Linked DNA regions of Rattus norvegicus. The protein of the gene in region 2 purifies or fractionates together with the protein of the main gene of each other region. This does not show direct contact. Links are inferred from orthologs where the notes say so. Each region holds a gene or a part of one and is shown on either strand. Other genes may lie near its edges.

Region 1 (7,863 bases), on a different chromosome or scaffold from region 2:
CAGGAGGATCTCTGTGAGTTCAAGGCCAGCCTGGTCTACAGAGCGAGTTTCAGGACAGCCAGGGCTACACAGAGAAACCCCATCTAGAAGAACTGAAAAAAAAGAAAAGTATCCTGCCTGATATAAAGTGAAGCCATTGATAGAATGTTTCCGCTTTTTTTAGGCAGTCTCACTACGTAGCCTAGGCTGGGCTGTCGGTCATGATCCTCTTGCCTCTGCTTTCTGAGTGCTGGGATTAGAAGTCAACGCCACTGTGCCTGATGAGGCTGCCAGAAACAGAACTAGGGCCTTGTGCGTGTGACACAGGTGCTCTACCACTGAGCTACACTCTCTGCTGTTAGGCTGTTTAGGAGTCTGGGGATTCCTGCTGAGAACTGCACATCTAACAGCTGCTCAACAGTGCTCAACACTGCTAACATTTCACTTTCTCCCTTGCCCTCTGCCCCTCTGCCCACCTGCATCTCCTGCCCACCTGCATCTCCTGCCCACCTGCATCTCCTGCCCACCTGCATCTCCTGCCCACCTGCATCTCCTGCCACCTGCTCACCTCTCTCTTCCACCCTCTTGCCCACCTGCATCTCCTGCCCACCTGTACCTCTTGCCCACCTGCATCTCCTGCCCACCTGCATCTCCTGCCCACCTGCCAGCCCCACTCACTCCAGTGATCTTCTTCTTGCATTTGGCACAGCTGGGTGCATAGCGCACATCATAGCAGGAGGGGCAAAAGATAGCTCCCTTCTCCTCGAAGAAGCCACCCTCTTCCAGGACCTTCCCACACTGGCTGCACACAAATTCCTCAGGATGGTACGCGTGGCCCAGTGCTACCAGGTATCGGCCGCTGCAGGGAGAGGGAATGCATGCAAGTGAGGTAGGGGCTCCAGGAGGAAGACAGGAGCGGTGTTTCCTCCCTTCAGAAGACCCTTGTTCTCACAGGAGCTGCTTGTTCATGTAAGCAAGATGGGGCAAACGTATACTCGCTCTTGATGACAGAGGCACCTTGGTTTGGGTGGAAGCTGATGGCTTGAGTCTACCAAGACACCCCTGGGGGACTACTGCCCAGTGTGAAGATGAAGAAATGATGAGACCCTGATGAATGCCCAGTCCTGACTGCCTGTTCCATTTGGCCTAAGCAGACATCTGCAGGCCTGAGATTAAACAGGGGTGTCAGAAGGAGGGGATGCTTTACAAATCCTCTCTGCCTGAGAGCTGAGGGCAGAACAAGCAGGCCAGGGACAGGACCAACAACTAGGAAGGCTCTGGAATCTGACTCTGAGGGGGCTGTGTGACTTGGCTGGGTTCCAGTAAGCAGTGTACAGAGGGAGGTACGTGTGGCCTATCGGTTCTGAGAGCAGAGGCTCGGCAGAGAGCAAGCCCGAGGAGGAAGCAGCAGAGAGGGAGGCCCTTCTTTATTCAGAGAGCCGGCGAAGCGACAGACACTGCTTCAGGGTGCTGCTAGCACCTTCATGCTTCCCCTGCTACAGCCGGGTGTGAGCGTGGTGGGAAGTGCAAGATTAAGAACCTGAGGATTGGGGGCTGCAGAGATGGTTCAGCAGCTGAGAGCACTGGCTGCTCTTCTGCAGGACTCAGGTTTGATTCCCAGCACCCACACGAAGGCTCACAGCCATCTAAATGCCATCTGATTCCAGGGGAATCCAACCCCCTGCTCAGTGTCTGTGGGCACCAGGCATGCAAGTGGTGCACAGACACACATCCAACTGAAACACCCACATACAAAACCACGAAAATTTAAAAAGATCTGAGGATCCAGACCAAATCCTTAACTCTCTTAGAGCAGCAGCAAAGGTAGGATAGGTACATGAGACACGACAGGGTCAGGTTACAGGGCAGGAAAGATCAGCATTAGAAAGGAATACTCACCGGATGATCTTGTGGCACTGGTGGCATACAGGCGTCTTGCCATTGTTGCTGCCTCCTCCTGTGCCCCCTCCAGCTGCAGCCTGAACTATGGAGGTGCGGTTCTGCAGAGGCGTAGGTGTGGCTGGCTGGCTGTGTCGGGTCAGCACTGTGCTGGTTTTGTCTGGGGCATAGCGCTCAGCAAATGCAGGATCTACGGCCCAGGGTGGGCGGCTGGTGGGGCTGGGGGTGGTGGGGCCTGACAGCCAAAGAAAGTAGATCCAGAGGGGTACTCAGGAAGCCCAAAGGGCAGAGGGTAGAACCCAGGGTAGCCTTAAAAGCCCACCACCCCTATGTCCATGGAGGCTACCCACCCTTCTTCAGCCCCAAGCCCAGTGTCTTACCAGGCCAGGATTCCTGGGGTATGGTTGAGGCTGGGGCTGGGGCTTCTGTCCTGGGCACCTGGCTGTAAGATCTGCCATTCAAGGCCCTGCCTGGCTGAGGCTTTGGGCATGGTCCCACCCCCTAAGTTCAGCTGTGCTGCCCCCTTGGGTGATGCTTAAATGCATCAAGAACTGCTGGGATGTATTCTAGGTCCCTCTGGGCTAGAGGTAGGAAGGGGTGCTCCCCCCTATGAAGGGTACAGCTATCTGGGCTGCTGTGTAGAGTGTGGAAGCAGAGTGTGCTCCTTCTCCTAGGGCAAGCCTTGGGTCTCCTTATCCAGGAGAACCATGGGTAAGGCAGAGCCACCCTGCATCTTGGTTAGGTACTCCCTCCCACCAAGAAGCAGGCTGCAGGACCCATACCAAGTCTAAACCATTTAGCATCCCAAACCCAAAACATAACCAGACCCAAAAGATGGGAGACAGAGGCAAAGGAAGCAGGACTGAGAATGTTTATTCCCACGCTCAAGGCAGCGCAGACCTGGCAGACAGCAGTACCACAGGGCCAAGAAGGAAGGCAGTGTCAGACGAAGCCAGGCCCTGTGCCAGACGGGCTGCCGGGACCAGGCCAGCAGGAGGTTCAGGCCAGGGCTGTGAAAGCAGTAGGTGAGAGCTGGAGGCACCCGTGGGGTGCCCTGGGAGGGAGTAAGAGAGAAGAAAGCAGAGGGCAGCAGGCTGAGCAGGGCCAGGCTAGGACTGCACGTTGAGCACGTGGGCAGAGCGCTGGTGGTGCCAGTCCCGGAGACGTGTATAGCGTGGGCTCTGTAGCTCCAGGACATACTTTTCCCTGAGGGGCAGAGAGAGAGAGAGAGGAGGAGGAAGTGAAAGGAAGGAGAGACGGAAGGGAGGAAGGAGGGAAGGAAATGAGGAAGGGACAGAAGAGAGCTCTGGCAGGGGATGGCCAGGAGTAGACAAGGACTGGTGGCCGGAAAGGAAGAATCGGGAGGTTAGGGAAAGCGCCCAAGCTTTTACCTTGACTTCTTCATGAATTCCTCATCCGGGTCTTGCACTGAGAGGACAGAGGCAGGCATTGACCAAGAGAAATGAAGGCTACCCCAGCCTTGAGTCCTGGCAAGGTCAGGCCCAGGCTAAGACCAGGAGAGTCCGCCCAGACCCAGGCCAGCACTTACTGAACTCTGTGCCCGTGAGGTGAGCAAGGATGCGGAAGGAACGGGACTGGCCTGTCCCTGGCCGCGGGCGCCAGTCTTCAGTATTCTCCATCAGCCGCTGCTTGCTGGCATCAGGGACCAGCTGTCTGAGCAGCTGTCTATGGAAGGGTAGAGCTCAGAACCCCTGGTTCTGTGGGCACCAGGGGCTGCCCCTCCCAGGATGTGATGTGCATGGGTTACGGTGACAGCTGAGAGGCGGGGTGGGGGTGGGGGAAGAAGGGGGGTAAGGCAAAGGGCTTGGCTGGGTGGGTGGGTAAATCAGAGTGGGCAGGAGGACAGGCAGGGCAGGGAGGCGCCACCACCCAGAGTGCCAAAAGGGAGAAAAGTGACAGGAAGAGGGGGCTCACTGACTTGTCAGGGGTCTGCACCTGCGAAGGAAATAGACAGATAGACAAATAAAGGGACAGACACAGGAGAAGAAAGACGGGTGGGGGGAAATCAGAGCAGTGGACAGGGAGGCAAGGTAGCAATGAGTGTGTGAGACTTGGCAGGTCCAACACCACACCCCAACCCCAGGCTGCCCAGGAGGGCAGAGCCTGTGGAAGAGCATCAGCCTTGGGCAGGGCTCTCTTCCTGAAGCCCCACCCAGCTGCCAGGGATTGCTGCCACACGGTTAAGGGGCTGGGGTCCGGCACAGACTGAGCAGTAGCGGGCAGCTTGTGTGTGCGCTTGCGAAAGGACTAGACCTGTGCACAAGAGGCAGGAGTGAGTGGGCAGGGGCTGACATACCCATTCTGCGACAGGGCGCTGTCAGTAGGTGGGGGTGCCCCGAAGGGCCGGGCCGTCTTGTTGAGGGAGGCGCTTGGTGCAAAAGTGTACCTCGGGGGGTCGGCGGGAGGGGTCAGGGCCTGGGCAGAGACAGAGCCGGGCAGGGTGGGTGGGAGTGGGGGCCAAGGTGGGAGCGGAGTTGTCACCACCACCAAGAACAGTGACAGGTCCGGCCCCACTCTTACACATCTGGCCAGAGGCTAAGATGAAGGGGTGACTGTGAATTCAAGGGGCCCATTTGGAAGTGATGAATTCAACCCACTCTGGGTCAGGGGGACCGAGGGCGGGTAGGCGCACACAGCACAGGCTTATGGGAAGAAGCAGGCAGACAGACAGGCAGGCACGTGAGGAGCCCGGACCGTGCGGCAGCTCCTAGCTCCACTCTCCCGTTCCCCAGACCCTGCCTGTTCTGGCATCTGCCCTCTGTTCTTAGCCAAGGCTGGGCCACGGAGAGCAGGCCAGCCCAATCCAAGTCCCTCCCTTTCTCAGCCAGGGTATCTCTGGTATAACCTACCTTCTGTGGTTTGCTCTGAGCAGGCTGGGCTCTGGAGAAGGAGAGAAAAGTGGTCATGGCCTGTAAGTGAGACCAGAGGCTGTGCTCACCCCTTGGGCCTATCAGCACCTGTACCTGCTAAGACCCAGGCTGAGGCGCTCCCCACAGGCACGGATCTTGTTCTGGGCTTCAATGTGTGTGAGGCTTCCGGCGTTCTCACCGTCGATACTCAGTACCCAGTCTCCCACGGCCACACCGGCCTGTGCGGCCTTGCCTCCAGGAGTGAGCTGTGGAAAGGAATGGTCAGAGGCCCAGGGGTGCACACCCAAGCTGCACAAGCTCCCTCACGGTCCAGACACTGCTGATAAACAGCCACCTTCAGGCTAGAGCCCATACCTGCAGGCTAGGACCACAGCCTTGACAGCTGTGTTTTCTGAGGTCTCTCTAGAGGCTGTTTGACCCACCAGATTGCCCTCCCCAGACAGCCACCTACCTGTGTTGCTGAAACTGGGCTATGAAGGCCTAACAGGGTTGATTGGGGTCACCTATATCCTGTGAAGTGTCCCATCTCCTATCTGGGAACTGCTACCGCTCCCCACCCCCACATCAAGGCCAACCCCTGATCCCCACCCCACACCCTTTCGCTCGCAGGGCTCCACATTCCTTTATTTTTATCTTAATTTTTTACTTTTGGTGACCAAGGCTCACTGCTTACCAGCAATCAGCCAGTTCTGGTGGCCGTCATTCCACCAGGCCTACTATGTTCCCCTATTTGCCACACGAACCAGAAATTCCCAACTCAAAGCCAAAAGGATTGGGGGCATGGTGGTTCTCCACAGGTCTGAAACCGCAGGGCCACTGGACCATCTGGTACCACGCAGAGCATTTACACTTAGCAGGTAGTAGGAGAAGCAGGGCGTAGGACGCCCAAGGGCCCAGGAGGCTCCTCGGGTGAGCTAATCAATGTGTACTGAAGCAGACAGACAGAAGACGAGAGGTTCTAGAGGTGCCAGGGACAGAGGGACCTCCCGCAGAGACTGCCAACTCTAGGACAGAAGGGGGAGCTGGACTCGACAGCTTTATTTTGTGCCTGAAGGGGAGGTTAGCAGAGGAGAGAGCTGGTGAGTCAGAGCCCTCTTTACCTGCTAGCACACGGTAAGAATAGCAACTCACAGAACACCTAGGACTGACGTAACATCTTCCAACACACTTGCAGGGGATCTAGGGATACACCCTGCTCACGCTCAGAAAAAAAAAAAACCAAAAACCAGACCTGCCAAACACCTGAACCCAGTCACCCAGCCAGCAAGAGGTGCAGCCAGGATTTGGTCCTGACTGGGAGGCTCCACTACAATAGGGCACAAGAGAGGGGTCAAGCGCACCCAATCACGATGCTGGGATAGCTAGCTGTGGTGGCATACACCCAGCACTGCGGAGGCAGAAGCAGAGGCAGGTGGATTTCTGTGAGTTGGAAGCCAGCCTGGTCTGCATAGTGAATTCCAGAACAGCCAAGACTACACAGAGAGACCCTGCCTCAAAAACTAATAAAACTAGTTAATTAAATCAAATTCGGGGGAAGAAAAAAAAAAAGACTCTGGGGTGCCAGGCAAGGTATACTTGTAATGCCAACACTGGCAGGCTAGGCAGAAGGACTGACAGCTCAAGGGTAGACAGTGTCCGAAAAGACACCCCCTCATTCCATGGCTAAGTTTGGGGTCTGCATGCACCCTCTCACCTTTATTTCACTGCGACCAGCCCCTTATAATGGGGACAGGGAAGTGACACTCTAAAGGGGAAATGACTTAGTCACAGGCTTGGTGAGTCACCAATGGAAACCTGGTTTAGCCACTCCTTCCTACTTCCTGAGAGACGTGGGGCAAGACCAAGGTGGGGGTCCTGTGAGGAGGAGCGACAGGCTCCCTGTAAAGGAACTATCTCTTTTATGGGGTGCACAGGGCAGAAGCATGTGAGGGGTAAGCCGTCCGTCAGAGTTGGAGAGAGGAGCACCATGGGGAGGACCATTTTGGAAAAGAGAGGTTAGTGAGATTAAGGAGGGGAAAAGCCAGGGGGCTGGACAGTATTATGGGTGTGGGTGAGTCAGCCTGGGAGCTCCACTGAGCAGCCCAACCCCCAAATCCCAGACATTACCTCATCTTCCAGGCCTGGGCCCTCAGCCAGCCCTAGCCCCTCCTTCCTCCCTCCACTCTGGGGTCAGGGGAGGGATAGCGGGCTGGTCCAATTTAGAAAAGACCACCCCACCCATCAGGGCCTAACTCACTCCAGGGCAGGGCTCAGTGGGCGGCCCCACCCACATGTTAAGGCCTCTGACAAAGGAGCCCAGGGGCCAGCAGGGGCCAGAGTACCCCCAAACCAGCAACATCTGCAAGGCCTTCATGACCAGTGAAGAAACTGAGACCTACAGCACACTGGCCAGCACTTTCCCAGAGGGGAAATGTAGGCTGAATGTGTGGGGGAAGGGTCCACAGCCCTTAGTCATCCTGCTGGTTGGAGCAGATTCCAAGGCAATTCCAGAGAAGTATCCTGGGAAGAACACAGCCAGCATGCATGCCTGCCCGCCCTGACCACCATGTCTGGCTCCCAGAGAGAAACAGCCTTGATACCCCTTTCAGGCTGAGTAGTGCCTGGAAATTCTCAGGCCCATTTGGGCTGGGCTTGCCCTGGGCAACAGCTGCCTGCCAACAGCCTACACTGTGGCTGGGTGGGCCTCTCTAGGCAAGCGGATGTCAGGGCAGGAAGTCCCTGCCCCCCTTTTCATCCCCCAGGCTAGTTGTAGATACCAAGCTAGAAGGCTGGCTTCACCCACTCTGGGCACAAAGTTTGCTCTGAGTCCTACTGACACCAATGACGGAGGGCCAGGTGAGGGGCCTAGACCTAGGCCAATCCTTTTGGGCTTTCTTGACTAGCCAATACTGGCCATCCCAGCTGGGGCTGCATTCTTGGGCTTATAAGGCAATCCCCCCTGCCACAGGGAGGAGTCAGCTCCCAGCTCCACCCTCCCCACCAGGGTGGACTGAGGAATGGGACCGAGAATCCTACAGGCCCGCCTTGCTACACCTCTGCTCAGGGTCAAAGGTCACGACAGCCCGCTACACCAGCTGACTGAGACTCAGCCCTC
Region 2 (8,387 bases):
ACTTCACAAAATGGGGGACAAATTGTGTCCTGGGAGGCACAGTTAGTTCTTGTGCAAGCCAAATACACAGGCTGTTCTTCAGAGGGAAAGCGACGGTCTTGGATGAGCACCCTTCTGAGGCACGTGGCTGTGCTCCTGATCCTCTCCCACCAAACCACTTCCCAGCCCTGACTGCAGCTTGCTGCAAAGGAGGGGAAGGAGCCACTCAGCCCCTGAGTCTGCTAAGAGGCACAATGGCAGGTGATCGATGTAGAAAGAGCAAAATGACCTAATCTTTTGAGAGCTAACAGGAGGCTCTGCTGGGTCTGAAGCAGAATAAATGGGTCTTTCCACTTCAATCATAACTCAAAAAATCTCCAATTTTCTGTGAAAAGGACAGTTCTCCTCACAGAATTAAGAACAAAGTGGTTGTGAGATGCTGGAAGACAAAAGGGAAAGGCTCCAGCCTGGGGTGGAGGGCAGTCTCCTCACGCTGCCACTGTGCACAGGGTATCTAGGCTCCCTAGGCATACCACACCCAGTTCAGCTCCAGCAGGCAGGCACCTTGAGGGTGTTGACAGGCCAGATGTGAAGCAGGAGGCTCCCTGTGCGCCAAATGGGATCAAGGGCCACTGTGGCTTTCAAGGCCCATGTGGCTAAACCAAAATCACCAGAAAGACCCCTGAACTTATATATTTCTGGGTCTCCTTCTAGACAATTCGATTTAACATGAAGTGGGAACAGAATGGGTCAAGTAACTACAATGTACACTCTTTTAAAGATTTATTATGTTTATTTTATGTGCGAGTATCCACACATGTCCGTGCCTCAGGTTCCCTGGCACTGGGGTGAGCCGCCTGACTTGGGTGCTGGGAGGTGAGCTCAGGTCCCCTACAAGAGCAGCAAGTGTAATTAACTGTCGAGCTGCCTCGCCAGCCCCTCAGTGTATATTCTTCAAAGGTTCCCCTAGAGGGCATTCAAAATGGCTTAGTGGGTTAGGACACCTACCACTACCTCTGATGACCATATTTTGCCCAAAAATCCACATGGTAGACACTCCTGCCAAGATGTCCCCTCAACTCTACATATATGCTATGATGAGTGCATAGACACAAAATTGAACTGAATTAAAAACCAAAACCCTGAGGACTGCCAGGATGGTGAGTCCCCAGATCCACAGAGGTGAGGAGCTCTGTTCCAGGACCGTCTGCCTCGTAAGGAACCAGCACTCTGGAGTACCTGACCTGTTTATTCATGGAAGAGATACACTGGGAAGGGGCTGCAAGGGCTCATGCATCTCCAGACTCCACAGTGAACACTGACCTCTCTACAGGAGGGATCTCAGTTGGTATGGACCTCCCTGATTGGTAGAAAGGCCAAGTGTGGAGAAAAATCAGATGGAGGCATAGCATGGCTGCTTGCAGAGGTGTCTGCATGAGGACATCATTGCCTCCAGTTGGGACAGGCTAAGGGACAATAAGGGCCACTTGTTTGCCATAAAAACAGTGGTAGGAGATTTGCTATAATCACGTGAGAGAAAACTAAAGTCAACTCGGAGAGTTTAGGACTGAATACAACACAAAGGGTTGGTGATTTTCCTCTTTCCGAGAAGGGGTCCTCTTTGTCAGTTCTGACTGTAAACATCCAGATGCCTTCTCAGACTTCCCAACTCAGCCAAGGGCTCTTTATTGACTGACAGCATCTCCTAGGCAATGGGGGATAATCTGAGGGTCTCTTAGTTCCTCCCAGAAAGGCCTTTGTTTTAGGCAGAGGCTTTCTCCTTATGCTTCAAAAGACCTATTTCAGGGACTAGAGAGATAGCTCAGCATTTGGGAGTGCTTTTGGTTCTCCAAAGTTGAGTGAGTTCAAGTTCCAACATTCACAAGTTGGCTCACAGCCCCCTATAACTCCAGCTCCTGGGAATCTAACACCCTTGTGGGCCCTAAGTACACACGGGCATACATAGACATAAAAATAAAGAAGGTTGGGGATTTAGCTCAGTGGTAGAGCACTTGCCTAGCAAGCACAAGGCCCTGGGTTGAGTCCCTAGCTCGAAATAAAGAAAGAAAGAAAGAAGGAAGGAAAGAAAGAAGGAAGGAAGGAAGGAAGGAAGGAAGGAAGGAAAGAAAGAAAGAAAGAAAGAAAGAAAGAAAGAAAGAGAGAGAGAGAGAGAAAGGAAGAAAGAAAGGGAAGAAAGAAGACTATTTCTAATATAAACTATTAAAGGTCACCAGGCAGTGGTGACAGACGCCTTTAATCCCAGCACTCGGAAGGCACAGTTCAAGGCCAGCCTGGTCTACAGAGTGAGTTCCTGGATAGCTACAGCTACACAGAGAAATCTTGTCCCAACAAACAAACAAACAAACAAACATCCAAAAATATTAAAGGTCTTCCAAGTTGGTAGCCTGCAGTAAGGGAAACAGCCCCAGTCACATGGATGTTTTGTGACAGCCAACGCATGGGTTTAAAAGCAGCGAAGTCCAGACTCAAAGCAACCAACAGCTTGAGGCTTTGATTCTTCCACTGAAATGCTCATTTTCTTGTTGGGTTTCTGTACCAAGCTGGCAAGTTTATCTCAAGTAATTAATCTGGTAAAGGAAACCCTTCTCCCGAGTTAGTCACAACCATCAAAACTCAGACTAGCACAGCACAGAGGTCAGCACACTTCGGTTTCATACAAATTCAAGCCACTTCTGAACAAACTCAGCCTCTTCTAACTGGTCCGTCCACTTGCCCCTCTCTCTCTATTGGGGTTGGCGGGTGACCTTCAGAAACACACGTGAATTCTCTGCGTTTCCTTATGCAGAAGGGAGGGGGACACTGTTAAGGACCTTTCAAGTTTAAAACTATAATGATGAAACTTTCATTTTTTTTCAAGCCCAAAACATCTGATTTAACGTTTTGCACTCTCTGCTTCATAAGAGCAGAAAGTTAATTTCTTTTGTTTGTTTTTTTATCTCACACAGATTTATGAAAATCCAGCCTAAAGCATCCACCTAGTGTCTACAGCAAATCCTGACACATTGGCTAAGCAGTAGCATGATGTGCTCAAACTTGATCTTCACTCCCAACGAAGGGTGCCAGAGGGTTGAGATCCTGCCTGTAGCTATAGGAAGGAGGCCTCAAAATACACACTGGGGGGCTTCTACTCCCCATGCAGTCTGAAGACGGCTAGTTTCAAGAGAACCTTTTACCCAATAATGGATGAAACGGACACACACACACACACACACACACACACACATGCACACACACATGCACACACACACGTGCACACGCACAGAGATACACGAAATTATGTCCATCCCAAATTATAGCCTCTTATAGTAATAATTTCCAGAAATATACAATTAATTTCTTGTAAATGTAAACTGCCAAGTATGTGGCTCACTGCTGGATAGTAAAGTTGTAGCAATAGTTGTAAGGAAAATGCTTGACTGAAGTTCTCAAGGCCCTGGGTTCAGTCCCTATCACCATACACATAAAAACCAAACTAGATTTTTTGTAAGATAATGATTTATAAAGCATTTTTAATTGGGTGAGTTTTTTAAAATACCAAATAATAAATAAACTCTTTACTGCTTTTATTTTTTTCCAGAAAGCAGTAAGTTTGTATTTCTTCTTGTTTGGTTTTGTTTTGTTTTGTTTGAGGCAATGTTTTTCTATAGACCAGGCTGGACTTGAACTCAAGAGATCCACCTGCCTCTGCCTCCCAGTGCTGGGATTAAAGCTGTGCACCACCAGGTCAGGGCCAGGTTAGAGTCTTTTAAAAAGTGTACTTATTTTTCAAAACTTTTCATTTTGAAAAGACCAAATTTACATAAATCATTACTGAACGGTATACTAAATATGACTTCTGTTAATTTTATTATTTTCAAAGATCCTACCTAGTCAGGTGGCGGTGGCTCATGCCTCAGGAGGCAGAGGCAGGAGGATCTCTGTGAGTTCCAGGACAGCTTGGTCAGAGTGAGTTCCAGGATAGCCAACACTACACAGAGAAACCCTGTCTCGAAAACTAAAACAAACAAACAAAAATCTTACCTAAGTTTGTGTTTTTAGCTCTTTTCAAAATTTAATTGATTTTTTTTTTAAGATGGGAGGGTCTTATTTCACAACACAGGCTAGTTTCATTCCAAATTTAATTACTAAATAACTTTTAGGATAGATTCTGGTTATATAGCCTAAGCTAGACTTGAACTCAAGATCCTCCCGCCTCAGCCTCCTGGGTGCTGGGATGACAAGCCTGAACCAGGTCAGGCTTATTTCCAAATTTGTATTTTCAAATTTTTTTGCTCTTGACACTGAGGCACACAAGCCTGAATATATATGTAAATGAAGCATACACCTGCTGTTCACAAGACTCCTCAGCTGCTTCTGGCAACAATCTCCAGTATTTGAAAACTACAATAACAAGGAATCACGCCATTAAAAATACATTCTCTTTCTCTCCAGTGTGAGGCAATGTCTTAAGCCAACGGCTAAGTATGGATATAATATCTGATTCTCTAGTTTTGAAACTGCCAGAAACAATATCTTTATTTAAAAAAAAAAGGAGTAGTATCAGAATACCTCTAACTGAAAGCAGTTTCAACCAGTAATAAGTTTAGTGGAGGAAAATAAGTTACTTACTCGAGCCTCCTCCTGAGTCACTCTATGCCTAAGATCCAATAAAGTCAGGATAACCCTCAACTAAGTTCTGAACTTGAAGGCGAAATCCACACAGGACTCCACTCAGCAGCCTTGCAAACCTGGCCGTGCGCCACCAGCACCGGAGGGAGCCGAGGGTCTCAGTACCGGACCAGACAGTCGCGGCGGAGCCTGGCCTGGGCCTCAGCCGCTCATCAGGCCCGTCGCCCTTCCATAGGACCCGGCGCACCGCAGCTCAGGCCACCACCTGCCCTTCGCCCCTCGCAAGAGGCTGTGGAAAACCACCCGATGTCACCGAGCGGGTCGCACCTCGCTGGCTACCCTCCAAGGCCACCCCGCCCAAGGTTCTCCGGGGCCCGACGCCGGTCCAGGGCCGGTACGGTTAGGGACTCTCCTGGCGCAGCAGGGCGCCGAGTGAAGTGACTCGCGTAGCCCTGGCTCGACCAGGCCCCTTCACCGTCGAGGTGGGACGTCTAGTTCCACTCACCTTAGGGCCCTCGGGGGGCACACGCGGGTCGTTCCACGTCGTGGTGCGGCTGTTGTGGTCCACGAAGAAGGGCCAGCCGGTCTGCGGGTCGATCTTGATCTCCCAGCCCGGGGGCAGGGGGTCTCGGTCGCTGGCTCCGTTGCCGGACGCCATCTGCATCACCGGCGACTGGGTGGCGGCGCTCATGCTTAGTTGGGGTCCGCCCGGGGCGCAGAGCTAGGGCGCGGGTCACGAGGTCGTGGAGTGCGGGCACCTCTGTGTAGCCGATGTGTCCGGGAAGCCGGTGCGGGCACCTTTATGAATTAAAGGACTGGGTGACGTGGCCGAAGAGGGGTGGAAGTGTCTGGAAATAGCCTCCTAGCTGCCAAAGGGGAAGGAGGAGATAAAGAGAAGGCAGCAACTGGCCGGCTAGAAACTTCTGGTCCCATCCAGAGAACTTGGCGGCCGCCGTGGGTTGGATGCGGAACTCCGCCCTGAGTCATCGGCTATAATCGCGGCGGGGCGGGACCGTGGGAGGGATTGGAGGCGGGGATTTGTCACCCGTCCCTCCTTCTAGTCTTCTCTGGCTGTCCCTCCCTACCCCTGTCCTGAGTGCGTCCCGGGGCCTGTGCGCCTCGCGCCCGGTGGACGCGCACCGGTGTCCTTGTGATCCTTGGCTAGTTTCGGTCTCTGGACTCCTCAACACTTATTCGTTGCCGCGTGGGGTGTCCCGGGGCTGGCAGTCCAAGGGCTGACGCCTAGGGCCCCACCTCTGCGTAAGGACTAAATCATCTTTAAACTCGGAAAGTCTAGATCTTCCCCACTCCCAAGTACGCTAATATTCAGTGACGCTGGCGTCCTGCAGTGACGTTTTTAATAACTTTTTCTCAAGGGCCTTAGGACTTCTCCCTAGGAGTTCTGGAATGCTGATCTGACGTCACAACAAAAAGAAAGTACTGTGGAAACTCACCTGCCTGCTTTGGGAAACTGAAGAACTAAGGACTGATAGGACAGCTTTGTGCTCTTGGCTTACTCTATGATATAGACACATTCGCATAGTGACTAGCCTTAAAATTTATAATCCCTGGGGTTTGTTTGGTTTTGTTTTTAATGATAAAGGTGGACTCTGATTTGGAAAATAAGGATCACACCACACCCTGCAATTTTGTTTGTGTAAGTGACAATCGACTTCTAATCCCATTACCCATCTGGTTCCCAGTGCCCTCCAGAGAGAGAATGTTCGGGGGATCCAGCTCAGGTTCTTAGCGTGCAAACTCATTCCCTCACTTCAGAACCTCCTGGAACTAATACTGAGCCCAATTTCCCAACGCAGATTCAGAGAATATCCTGGGACCTTCAAAGATACCATCTCTGGCCTCGTCCCCTCAGATTTTTATTCTGTAGCAAATACTCTGCCAGACATCGTCAAAGAGCTGATTTTTTTTTTTTTAAACTTCCAAAGACCTTCTTACTGACTCTAAAGTCTCAAAGCTTCGGTATAAATATTAACATAGCTAGCCTTCAGGGACTGACTGGCGTCACCAAACACATCTGTGTAAGCCCGAATGTGGGCTTATCATTTGATAGTCACATTGAAAGGTCTGGACTCTTAGATTCATTCACTGACCAGCGTCTGTCTTTTGCTTCTTTATACCTGAACCCACCCAGCACACGGCTAGGTCCAGGTCCAGAGTCCATCTTCAATAAAGAAATATTGATATTTTTTGAAGACTGAATACAAAGTGAAACAAAAAAATTTTGTTTGTTTTTCAAGACAAGGTTTCTTTGTGTAGCTCTAGCTGTTCTAGAACTAGCTAGCTATGTAGACCAGGCTGACCTTGAACTCACAGAGATCCACCTCTCTCTGCCTCCCAAGTACTGGGATCAAGGGGGTGTGCCACCACTGCCCAGCTGTGATTTTATTTTACTTTTTAAAGATACCATCTATCTATATATTTCTGCCTCCCAAGTACCAAGATTAAAGGTGTGCACAACCATGCACACCTATGTGCACAACTATGTCCTTTTTTTTTTAAAAGAAAGAATTATTTGACATGTGTGAGACTGCTTGTATGTATGTACACTATGTGTGTGCAATGCCTGCAGAGGTTTGACGAGCGTATTGGATGCCCTGAAACTGTAGTTAAGATATTTAGAGCTTCCTTGTAGGAACTTCCTGGTCCTCTGTAAGAGTAGCAAATGCTCTTAAATCATCTCTCTAGCACCCCCTCTTTGTCCTTGAGTTGCCCCTTCATTCCTACCATCCTTTTGTATCTTCCTAAGTATGGTTTGACTCTGTGACTCTTGTCTTTGTTCAGTCCCACCAACCTGTCCAGGCCATCCTACCCTCTCGTCTGATCCTTGCACAGCCTCCTAATGGGTTCCCAGCCTTTGAGCTTGTCTCTAAACCTCTTCCCCATAAGGCAACCAGAGAGGCCTTTTCATGCACCCACCAAGTCCACTCTCCTTGGTCTGGTGCACAAAGGAGTCTTCCTCGCTTTCCCTGGTACACACTTAAGCTGACCCTGCTGAACTGTGTGTCTTGCACACACTGCTTCCTCCACCAAGGAGGAAACCCCTCTGTCTGCTCCAACCACCATCTTCTGGGCAGCTTGGCTTTTCCCAGAATTGCCTTTGGCACACTCTCCTTCACACGTACCCCCTCCCACCACTGCTCCCTCCCCCACACTAGTCCTGTGACCATCCACATCCTGTCCCACCCTACCAATTGCTTTACACTGTAAATGCTTGTTTGTTTGATTTACTTAATGGGCTGAGTTTTTGAGAGCAGGAGCAGGATCTTGATCACCACTGTGTCCCTATCCTCCGGCACAGTGTGTGGTAAATAATAATTATTAAAAACAACAGTCGTGATGGGTAGTGCTTATTGGGGAATCACTGTCAGGTGCTATGTTTTTTACTTTACATGGGCTCGGTGGACATTTGATCTTTGTGGTGGAAGCTATGATATGCTGCTTTGATCTCCTACGCACGAGAAGTGGGTTCTACCCACTGTCGAGAATGCTGGAGAAACACTGAGGACCTGTCACATTCCTCTGTCAACAGTGCCAAAAGAACAGACTTTTTGTTGTCATTGCTGTTTTGAGATAGAGTCTCTCTATGTAGCCCCGGCTGTTCTAGAATGTGATACACAGACCATGCTGTCCTCAAACCCAGTGAGATCCGACTGCCCCTGCCTCTTGAGTGACGGGATTAAAGTTCTGTACCACCACACCCAACGAGCTAGAAATTTTTATTAAAATCTGTGTGGATGAGGAAATGGGCTTAGAAATGT
Region 3 (7,863 bases), on a different chromosome or scaffold from region 2:
AAGCAGGCTGGCCTTTAATTCTCAAAGCTCCTGTCAAATTCGCTTTTGGTTCAGTTTTTATATTTTTTTTTAAATTACTTTGAGGAGGCAGAATTACCGAAGAAAAATCGTAATCATATAGAGTAATCTGAAACCCACCAGGCAGGTTTTTCAACTCACAGGCACTATACCACCTTAGGCGTTAGGATTTTCAGCATGCACCACCAGGCCCAGCCAAGGAGCAGCTCCTGTAAATGTTTGCTTCTCATTCACACAACTTACCACTTTTTTTAAGTATAGAATAGAGTTTATTCAGGGCATGGGGAGGGGAATTAAGAAGGTGGTAGGGCAGAGAAAGAGAGGGAGAAGAGGAGGAGAGGCCAGCCATGAGTACATGGAGAGAAGCGGGGAGGGGAATGGAGAGAGAAGTGACAAAGGGGCAAGGGAAAACAAGAGGAAGCAGGAAGAAGAAACTCACTCACCACTTTCAAGACTAATCCCTATTGACTATCAAGAACAAATCGTTTAAGAACTGAACACAGTTCAGTTACACAAGTAATTTGTCAAGCCCTTTTGTCTCCAAAAAGAAAATTGACATACCTCCTCCTCCACCACCATTTAATCCTTCTTTGCCATATTTGTCATAGATGTCCCGCTTTTTAGCTTTAAATTTGAGAAAAACAATCAGTATGGTTAAGTTCTTTCCAACATTCAGTCAGTATTTCCCATTTTAAATCTACATCCATTTAGAAGACCCTTGACTTTAAAAGGAGGCAGGTCTCCTGAATTGGCAAACTTACTTGTAACAGCTACAGATGCTTACTACAAAGTCCAGCGAATGGATGTTAAACACTGGGTAGAATGCACAGTGGATAAGCATATACCATAAAAGAAGCCAGGCTTGTGCTACATTGCACGGCTCAGTCTCAGGCTCAGGCTCAGGTTCTGCTGAGCTGACCACTCACTCACTTGGTTCATAGGTGCTATGCTGGTTGCCCAAGCCCTGCTTGCTGCCTTTGTGCTTCTGGGATAGCCACACAACACAGCTGCCACATCCTTCTGTCTTCCCCCAAAAATCTTATGCTATTCTACAACAGGGGAAACAAAGTGAAGAACAACCCCATCTTGAGTAAGAAGAGCCCTTGTAAGAACAGTAACATAAGCTCTGATGTCCAGGCTCCAGTCACTAGAGCTCAAAGCCCCAACAGTATTAAGACCTTGCCACATTTGCAGGATTTCAGTTATCAATGTCTTCATTAAGTGGGGAAAAAAATTGATACTTGTGAAGTTTCGTGGGTTGCCTTTAAAACTGGAAAGGTTACATATTAGAGTATTGATAATGCAAGGAGTTGTATGCCAATAAGCTGGCTCATTGCATTTTAGGTCAGGTTCCTTCTAGAAAAAGATTTTTTTTAAGATGGTGACCTATTATTTCCTATAATCAGTCAATTAGTACCTAACCTTTTAAATGCCTCTGCCTTGACTCGTGCCAGGCCACCCAGCAGGATAGTGCTTAGGATATAGGCAGTACTTTTCACATCTCTGGCACTAGTCCCAGCCTTTTAGATGCAAAATCTTTCCTTAACCACAAATGTGATGGGTGCCCCTAGCTGACAGCTAACCCTTCACCCAACTGCAAACAACCTTCAGAGGCATCTAATGTCTATGCTCTAGATCTAAAGTGGGATGTGTATGTGTGTATGTATGTGTCAAAGTGTGTGTTTGTGTCAAAGTCTAAATAAATCGGAGCACCCCTTCCTTGTGCAAGTATTAAAACCCCATTAACAATCCCTGCAGCAGAACAACGTCTACAGCTCATGCATGGCCCATAGCTCCTCAGGACCCATGGTTAGATGTACCAGATACAAAGTCCACAAAAAAATAAAAACCTTTGGGAAGGGGAAGCAGTTTAGCTGGGAGCAAACAAATTTTGTGTCTGTGCTCTCTTAGAAGTCCTGTTCTGATGCACCCTCTCAGAGCCCTTCCCGCTCAGGCTTACTTACCATCCGATAACACTTCATATGCCTCAGCTACTTGTTTGAATTTCCGCTCCGCTTCTTCTTTATTTTCAGGATTTTTGTCTGGGTGCCATTTGAGTGCCTGTTTTCGATACCTTGAAAGATGAAAAAGGTGTATACTGAGTACACTGAAGTCCATAGAACTTTAATATAAGCAGCTAGCCATGGTAGTAGCACACCTTTAATTCCAGCAATGGGTCTATGAGTTAAGACTAGCCTGGTCTACATACTGAGCTCCAGGCCAGCCATGCACACTGTAAAAATCCTGTCTCAAAAAAGGAAAAAGAAAAAAGAAAAAGAAAAAACACCCTACCCTTAAACAGAAAATAACTATACCATTAGGTATAAGAATATCTTAGCAGTAAAGCCCCCTTTTTCCTGCGAATGAAATAAGCAAGTTCTAATTTCAGATACTTGCACAAGAACTGGCAAGAATAATTAGTTTGAAAACTTGCATGTTGGATGATCCAAGTATTCAAATTACAGGCTCTGGTGATCAGGCTAAGCGTGTACAAAATGTAGACAACTCCCTGTCCACTGAGCAGAACAGATACAATGTAAATAAATTCCCTCGTATTTCTATTTTTTCCCCAGCCATTCAATCCTCCACTCATCATCAATATAAAGGAAGAACATCTCCCACAGCACAATCTGGACTCCTAATATCTTTTAAATAGCCACCTGTTCTAGATTTAATGCTTAAACAAGATTGAAATGTCAACTTTTGTGGCTAGAATATAGAATTACTTGGAGAATGGTCTCAAGGAAGCTGATGTGGATTAGGTACAGCACCGTTCAGTAGACAGCACCCCTACACTGCAAAGAAAGCAAGCTGAGAACAAGCAAGAACACAGCCATCTACACACTCATTTATCTGAACTATAGTAGATATAATCGAACTAGCTGTTTGAAGCGTCTGCCATGACTTCTCCACAGTGATGACTATGTGACCTCTATCATGAAGTAAACCCTTTTCTGTTTCTTTTGGGTAGTTCATCACAGCATCAGAAATAAACTAGAACACTAAACCTCAACTGGTTATGTCCCTGATGACACACCAACCCTCTGTGTAACAGAGTCCTGGCTGTCTGGGACTCACTTTGTAGAATAGGCTGGTCCCAAAGTCACTGAGATCTGCCTACTCTGAGTACTGGGATTAACATCACCCAGCATACACCAACATTTTAAAAGATAATGGTGAAGAGCTACAGATATAGTTCAGTGGAGACAACAAGCCTAGGTTGGAATTCAGGAAACACCAGGGAGAGAAGGAGGTATCACAAAGTAAATATAGATAGTACGAGGAACTCCAGATGGAACCTAGGACCTCTAGCACACAGGGCAATTTTAACATTTCTTTTTTGGGACATGGTATAATTTGTCAGGTTTTTGGGGTACGTGTGTGTGTGTGTGTGTGTGTGTGTGTGTGTGTGTGTGTATATATATATATATATATGTATGTATGTATGCGTGTACAGTGTGTATGAGTATGAAAGCCAGCTTAACCTCCTAAGAATCATCTACTTCATTTTTTTAAGAGTTGTTCGGTCTTTCAACCTAAAGATCACCAATTAGAAAGAATGCCCAAAGATCCCCTAGTCTGAGAAATATTAGAACTTAAACATTTAAAATTAAACCATAGGACCTAGATTAGATCCCAGTACAGGATGGCTGCCTTGTTCAGGGTTTGAGAGCACTTGCTCTTACTGAGATCCAAAGTTTGATTCCCAGCACCCATATGGTGGTTTGCAACTATCCACAAAGTCAGTTCTAGGGGATCATATACTGTCTTCTGACCTCCTTAAACACTGAGCATACACACATACATTCAGGCCAGCAAAACATTCACACATAAAATGAATAAACCTAATTTTTACATTATCGAATTACCAACGAACCATGGTATAGAACATCATCTCAGAAATAGAATTACGTACGCCTTTTTAATGTCCTCAGGTGAGGCATGTCTCTGCACGCCCAGCACTTCATAGTAATCCACCATGTTTTAACAGACTGTTGGAACAAATCCTGCAAATAAAAAAATACACCCATGATAACACTGCTTAATCAGTGAAAAATGAGAGAATGAATAAGAGTCAGTTCCTCCTCTGCACCTACTGACCCAGTCACTAGCCTGTATCTTAGGCAGGACCTTTGTCCAAAAACTGGGTTCAAGAATCATTTCCCATCCATATGGTGAGACACACCTTTAATTGCAGTGCCAGAGATGCAAATCGCAGGCACATCTGATTTCTATGCCAGCCTGGTCTACAGAGTGAGTTCAGGACAGCCAGGTGTGATGGTGCACACCTATGATCCTAGCACTAGGGAGGCAGAGGAAGGAGAATCTCTGTGTATTAGAGGTCAGACCAGTCTACAAATCAAGTACAGGACAGCCAGGGGGCTCTGTTGCACAGAGAAATCCTGTCTCAAAAACTAAATACGTATATAAAATTATATATTATATGATATAAACTGAGGGAAGGCAGACAAAACAGGAAGGAGGCACAGCTCAGTTACTGGAAAGCACCAGGGAGTTTACAATCCTAACACAATAGCAGCCTGAGCACCAGTCCACAAGGTCTGGGGTTTTCAACCTACATTAGCCTTCAGGCACAGGAAAGCTACTACTGAGAGCCCTACAGGAAATGTGATTCCTCAAAGGCTACCATCCTCAGAAGGAAAACAAGAAAAACTGCCACTCACCTTCGGAAGAAAAGGACCATGAACTTTGAAAAGGGTCTTACAAGCAAAATGGAAAAGCACAATCTTTTACAACATCAAATACCACCTTGATAACAAACAACCATTATCCTACCCTTTCAGACTTTATGCCCCACCTGGCTGCACAATGGTGCTTGTCTCAAAAACAAAAATAGCAAATAATACCAAAATAAAGACTGGAGATATGTTCAATGGTAGAGAGCCTGTGAGTACATGTAAGGCCCTAAGTTTGGTCATCAACACCAGGGAAAAAAAACAACACCTCTTCCTCTCTACTCCATTAAATGATAAAAGTTGGGCTACAAAGGATCTGTCTAAAGCAGCATTTTAAAAACCAATGCTAATAACTGCAGGACCCAACACAGACAAGGCAAACATTGTTGTACTAATCCACTCTTAGAGAACAATAAATCCCAAGACTGTTTCTGACTGCAAATATGTGAGCCTTACAAAGTGAAACAACAGCTACTGTGAAGTGCTAGTAAGAGTCAAAGCACATGCCCTCTTCTCCTTCTCCTCCGAGGTGGTCTAATATTTCCACCAATGTCCATGTTTCTATTATGAGTGATGCAAAAACTAGAGCTGACAGGAGAGCCAAATGAACCAGCCATGAATCCTGACTTCAAGGCAGTGGGGTACACAGCACCAACTGGCAGTTGATATTCAGCCAACACTTGAATGCTGGCCTTCTTAAATGAAGAGTACCCCTTGAGTTAATTCATTTGGAGAACTCGAGACACTTTGAGAGCTGCCAACCTCTCAACCACCAAACCCCTTGAAATAGACTAATTTAAGTCCAATGTATTTCTTTCTCCACAGCCTGACTCACTCCCAAGTTTCTACTTCTGTCCTACCTCATCATCTGAAATCACCTGATTTAAGCTCAGGAATTCCTAACCCTTCCCCCATACATTTAAGGGCTCTTCTGACTTCCCAAATCTTTTCCAGTCTTCTCAGATCTGCATTCTATGATGAATTTCCTCAAATGTGCTCAAAGCCTCACTCATCTCAACATCTACTGCCCATTATATAACACCCTGAGTCCCAAATGAAAGCCTAACCCAGTAAATAGACACAAGACTGCACAAAATAGCCACTTGGATAGTGAGCATGCTGTTTCAAATAGAACATAACCAAAACTTAACTATTGAGTCTCCCCACTCCAACCAACATGTCTTTCTCTAGTAAATTCTATGTTGTTATACCTACCACATAAAGAAAATAACTCTTTCAAAACATCTTCAGCATGGTCCTCAGCCCTTACTCCTGCAGAAAAAAAAGCCTTTGGGTCATCCTCTTTTCAATGAAGACAGAGACTCAAAAAGTGTAATACCTAGGCAATAACAGCCACAAGGGACTAAGCTAACTAGGAAATATTAAGACAACAATCACGTGTTGTATTAACTAGTGTCAGGTACCAGAGGGAAGGAGCTATAAAATAAGCTACAGATCACCAAACAAAGTTTAGGAACTATCTCAACTAACCTCAAGCTGGGTGTGGTAGAAGGATCAGGAATTTAGGCCACTAGTGTGACCCCAATTTGTAGGCAACAGGAAACACATGTGACCCTGTCTCAGAAAACAAGAGCCTGTCTCAGCCAACTCCAGACCCACCTAATGCTACTTTAGACTATCTCAAAAATAATAAAGGCTGGATTTTCTTTTCTGCCCTTATTTTAGCACTTTTTTGTATTAGTACCATCTACAGTGGATATGGTTCAGTAGTAAAGCACAATGCACAAGTCTAGACAAGCAGACATGTTTGCACATGATATATATTGCAAGCTTGTATCTGGGGGCAGAAGGACCTACAGCTTTGATTATTATAAAGTGATTACCTATATAACCTTAGTCCATTTTTCATCTAAGTGTGGCCTTTCCTGCTATCACTAAAAACCAAACTTTGACTCTTCCCGTTTTCACTCCTTAATACAGGAATGCCAACATGAGAAAGGCACCCCTAAGTATGGGGGAAGGAGACCCAGTTGACAGTGCTTCTACTGAGATGATTACAAGCAATCAAACCTGAACGAAGATAAAAAAAAAAAAAAGAAAGAAAGAAAAAGGAAAGATGAGGCCAACAATGAACTACAAAGATAAATAACCAGCACGTGTAAACAAACAGAAATGAAGAGGGAAGATCAATTACAGAGAACAGATGGTCACTGGAGTGGAAATGAAAGCTCAAGGACCTACCTGGTTGGTCCAATTCTACAAGATAATACATTGATGATAGTGTCTGCCAAGATGCACTTCAAACAAGTACTCATAATTAACCCTACAGATACTCACAATTCATATTAAAGACAACTACTAATACTATAGACTATTATATACAATGTGAACACAAATTGCTTATCCACTTAGGATTAATTTAGACTAGCTACACCAAATAAGTAAAATACTAAAATGTTATCCACTATCCAAATATACACTCGACATTAACGGGAAACATGCTTTACTCTATTTGAACCCAGAACACCCACCAGAAGCCCATACCCAGTGCACTAGGTATTTACCAATACCAAAGTTCAGCTGTGCATGAAGGCAAACTACTTTAATCTCAGCATGCAGGAGACAGAGGTATGTGGATCTCAAGTTCTAGGCCAGCCAGGTCTAGAGCCTGAGTTCCAGGACATCCAGGGCTACAAAGAAGAAAAAAAGTTCCTTCAATTCTCTCATTTAGTGGTGGTAGTCATTTTACTTGGCTACCAAGTATGCCAGGCAGCACTCAATAAGATACAGTCCTAGCTGACCCAGGCCTTTTTGAAGCATGGTCTCCCTAAATTATTCAGGTTGACCTTGTATCTGGCAGTCCTCCTGCCTCAGACTCCTGAGTGGATTATATTACAGACCTCAGCTACCCAGCTCCAATGTATTAGTTATACTTAGTCTGAAGCTTTTTTAGTTTATCCAAGATCAAACTGCTGCCAGAAGCATCTGTCTTATATAATTCAACTAGCAGTAGCAGTGTGAAACCTTTCCCTATGGCTATTCATTATAATCTCCCACTTCTAATGAGAATGTCCAAACACACACAAACACACACACACACACACACACACACACACACACCGAAGCCAAGCATAGTTCCAGACCAGTCATAGTGAGATTTTGCCTTGGGGGGTGGGGGTGGGGAATA

What was found.
Region 1: the proteins of Bag3 (region 2) and Pdlim7 purify together in Homo sapiens (affinity purification with mass spectrometry; 3 studies listed by BioGRID and IntAct, counting the BioPlex papers as one, with this or other methods). This does not show direct contact. The link is inferred for Rattus norvegicus from reciprocal best matches to the Homo sapiens genes BAG3 and PDLIM7.
Region 3: the proteins of Bag3 (region 2) and Dnajb6 purify together in Homo sapiens (co-immunoprecipitation; 3 studies listed by BioGRID and IntAct, with this or other methods). This does not show direct contact. The link is inferred for Rattus norvegicus from reciprocal best matches to the Homo sapiens genes BAG3 and DNAJB6.

The regions. Positions count from the first base shown.
Region 1 is NC_086035.1:9,131,425-9,139,287, reverse strand, and holds part of Pdlim7 (PDZ and LIM domain protein 7), read right to left. Parts: intron 5,015-7,863; coding exon 4,863-5,014; intron 4,780-4,862; coding exon 4,749-4,779; intron 4,315-4,748; coding exon 4,196-4,314; intron 3,835-4,195; coding exon of another isoform or gene 3,814-3,834; intron 3,565-3,813; coding exon 3,428-3,564; intron 3,307-3,427; coding exon 3,270-3,306; intron 3,085-3,269; coding exon of another isoform or gene 2,988-3,084; exon of another isoform or gene 2,732-2,987; intron 2,321-2,731; coding exon 2,259-2,320; intron 2,114-2,258; coding exon 1,879-2,113; intron 839-1,878; coding exon 658-838; coding exon of another isoform or gene 596-657; intron 530-595; coding exon of another isoform or gene 413-529; exon of another isoform or gene 1-412. UniProt on the Homo sapiens protein: May function as a scaffold on which the coordinated assembly of proteins can occur. May play a role as an adapter that, via its PDZ domain, localizes LIM-binding proteins to actin filaments of both skeletal muscle and nonmuscle tissues.
Region 2 is NC_086019.1:192,530,473-192,538,859, reverse strand, and holds the start of Bag3 (BAG family molecular chaperone regulator 3), read right to left. Parts: upstream 5,401-8,387; 5' UTR 5,300-5,400; coding exon 5,114-5,299; intron 1-5,113. UniProt on the Homo sapiens protein: Co-chaperone and adapter protein that connects different classes of molecular chaperones including heat shock proteins 70 (HSP70s), e.g. HSPA1A/HSP70 or HSPA8/HSC70, and small heat shock proteins (sHSPs), e.g. HSPB8.
Region 3 is NC_086022.1:6,216,719-6,224,581, forward strand, and holds part of Dnajb6 (dnaJ homolog subfamily B member 6), read right to left. Parts: intron 5,988-7,863; exon of another isoform or gene 5,931-5,987; intron 4,026-5,930; 5' UTR 4,000-4,025; coding exon 3,935-3,999; intron 2,093-3,934; coding exon 1,983-2,092; intron 643-1,982; coding exon 580-642; intron 1-579. UniProt on the Homo sapiens protein: Has a stimulatory effect on the ATPase activity of HSP70 in a dose-dependent and time-dependent manner and hence acts as a co-chaperone of HSP70. Plays an indispensable role in the organization of KRT8/KRT18 filaments.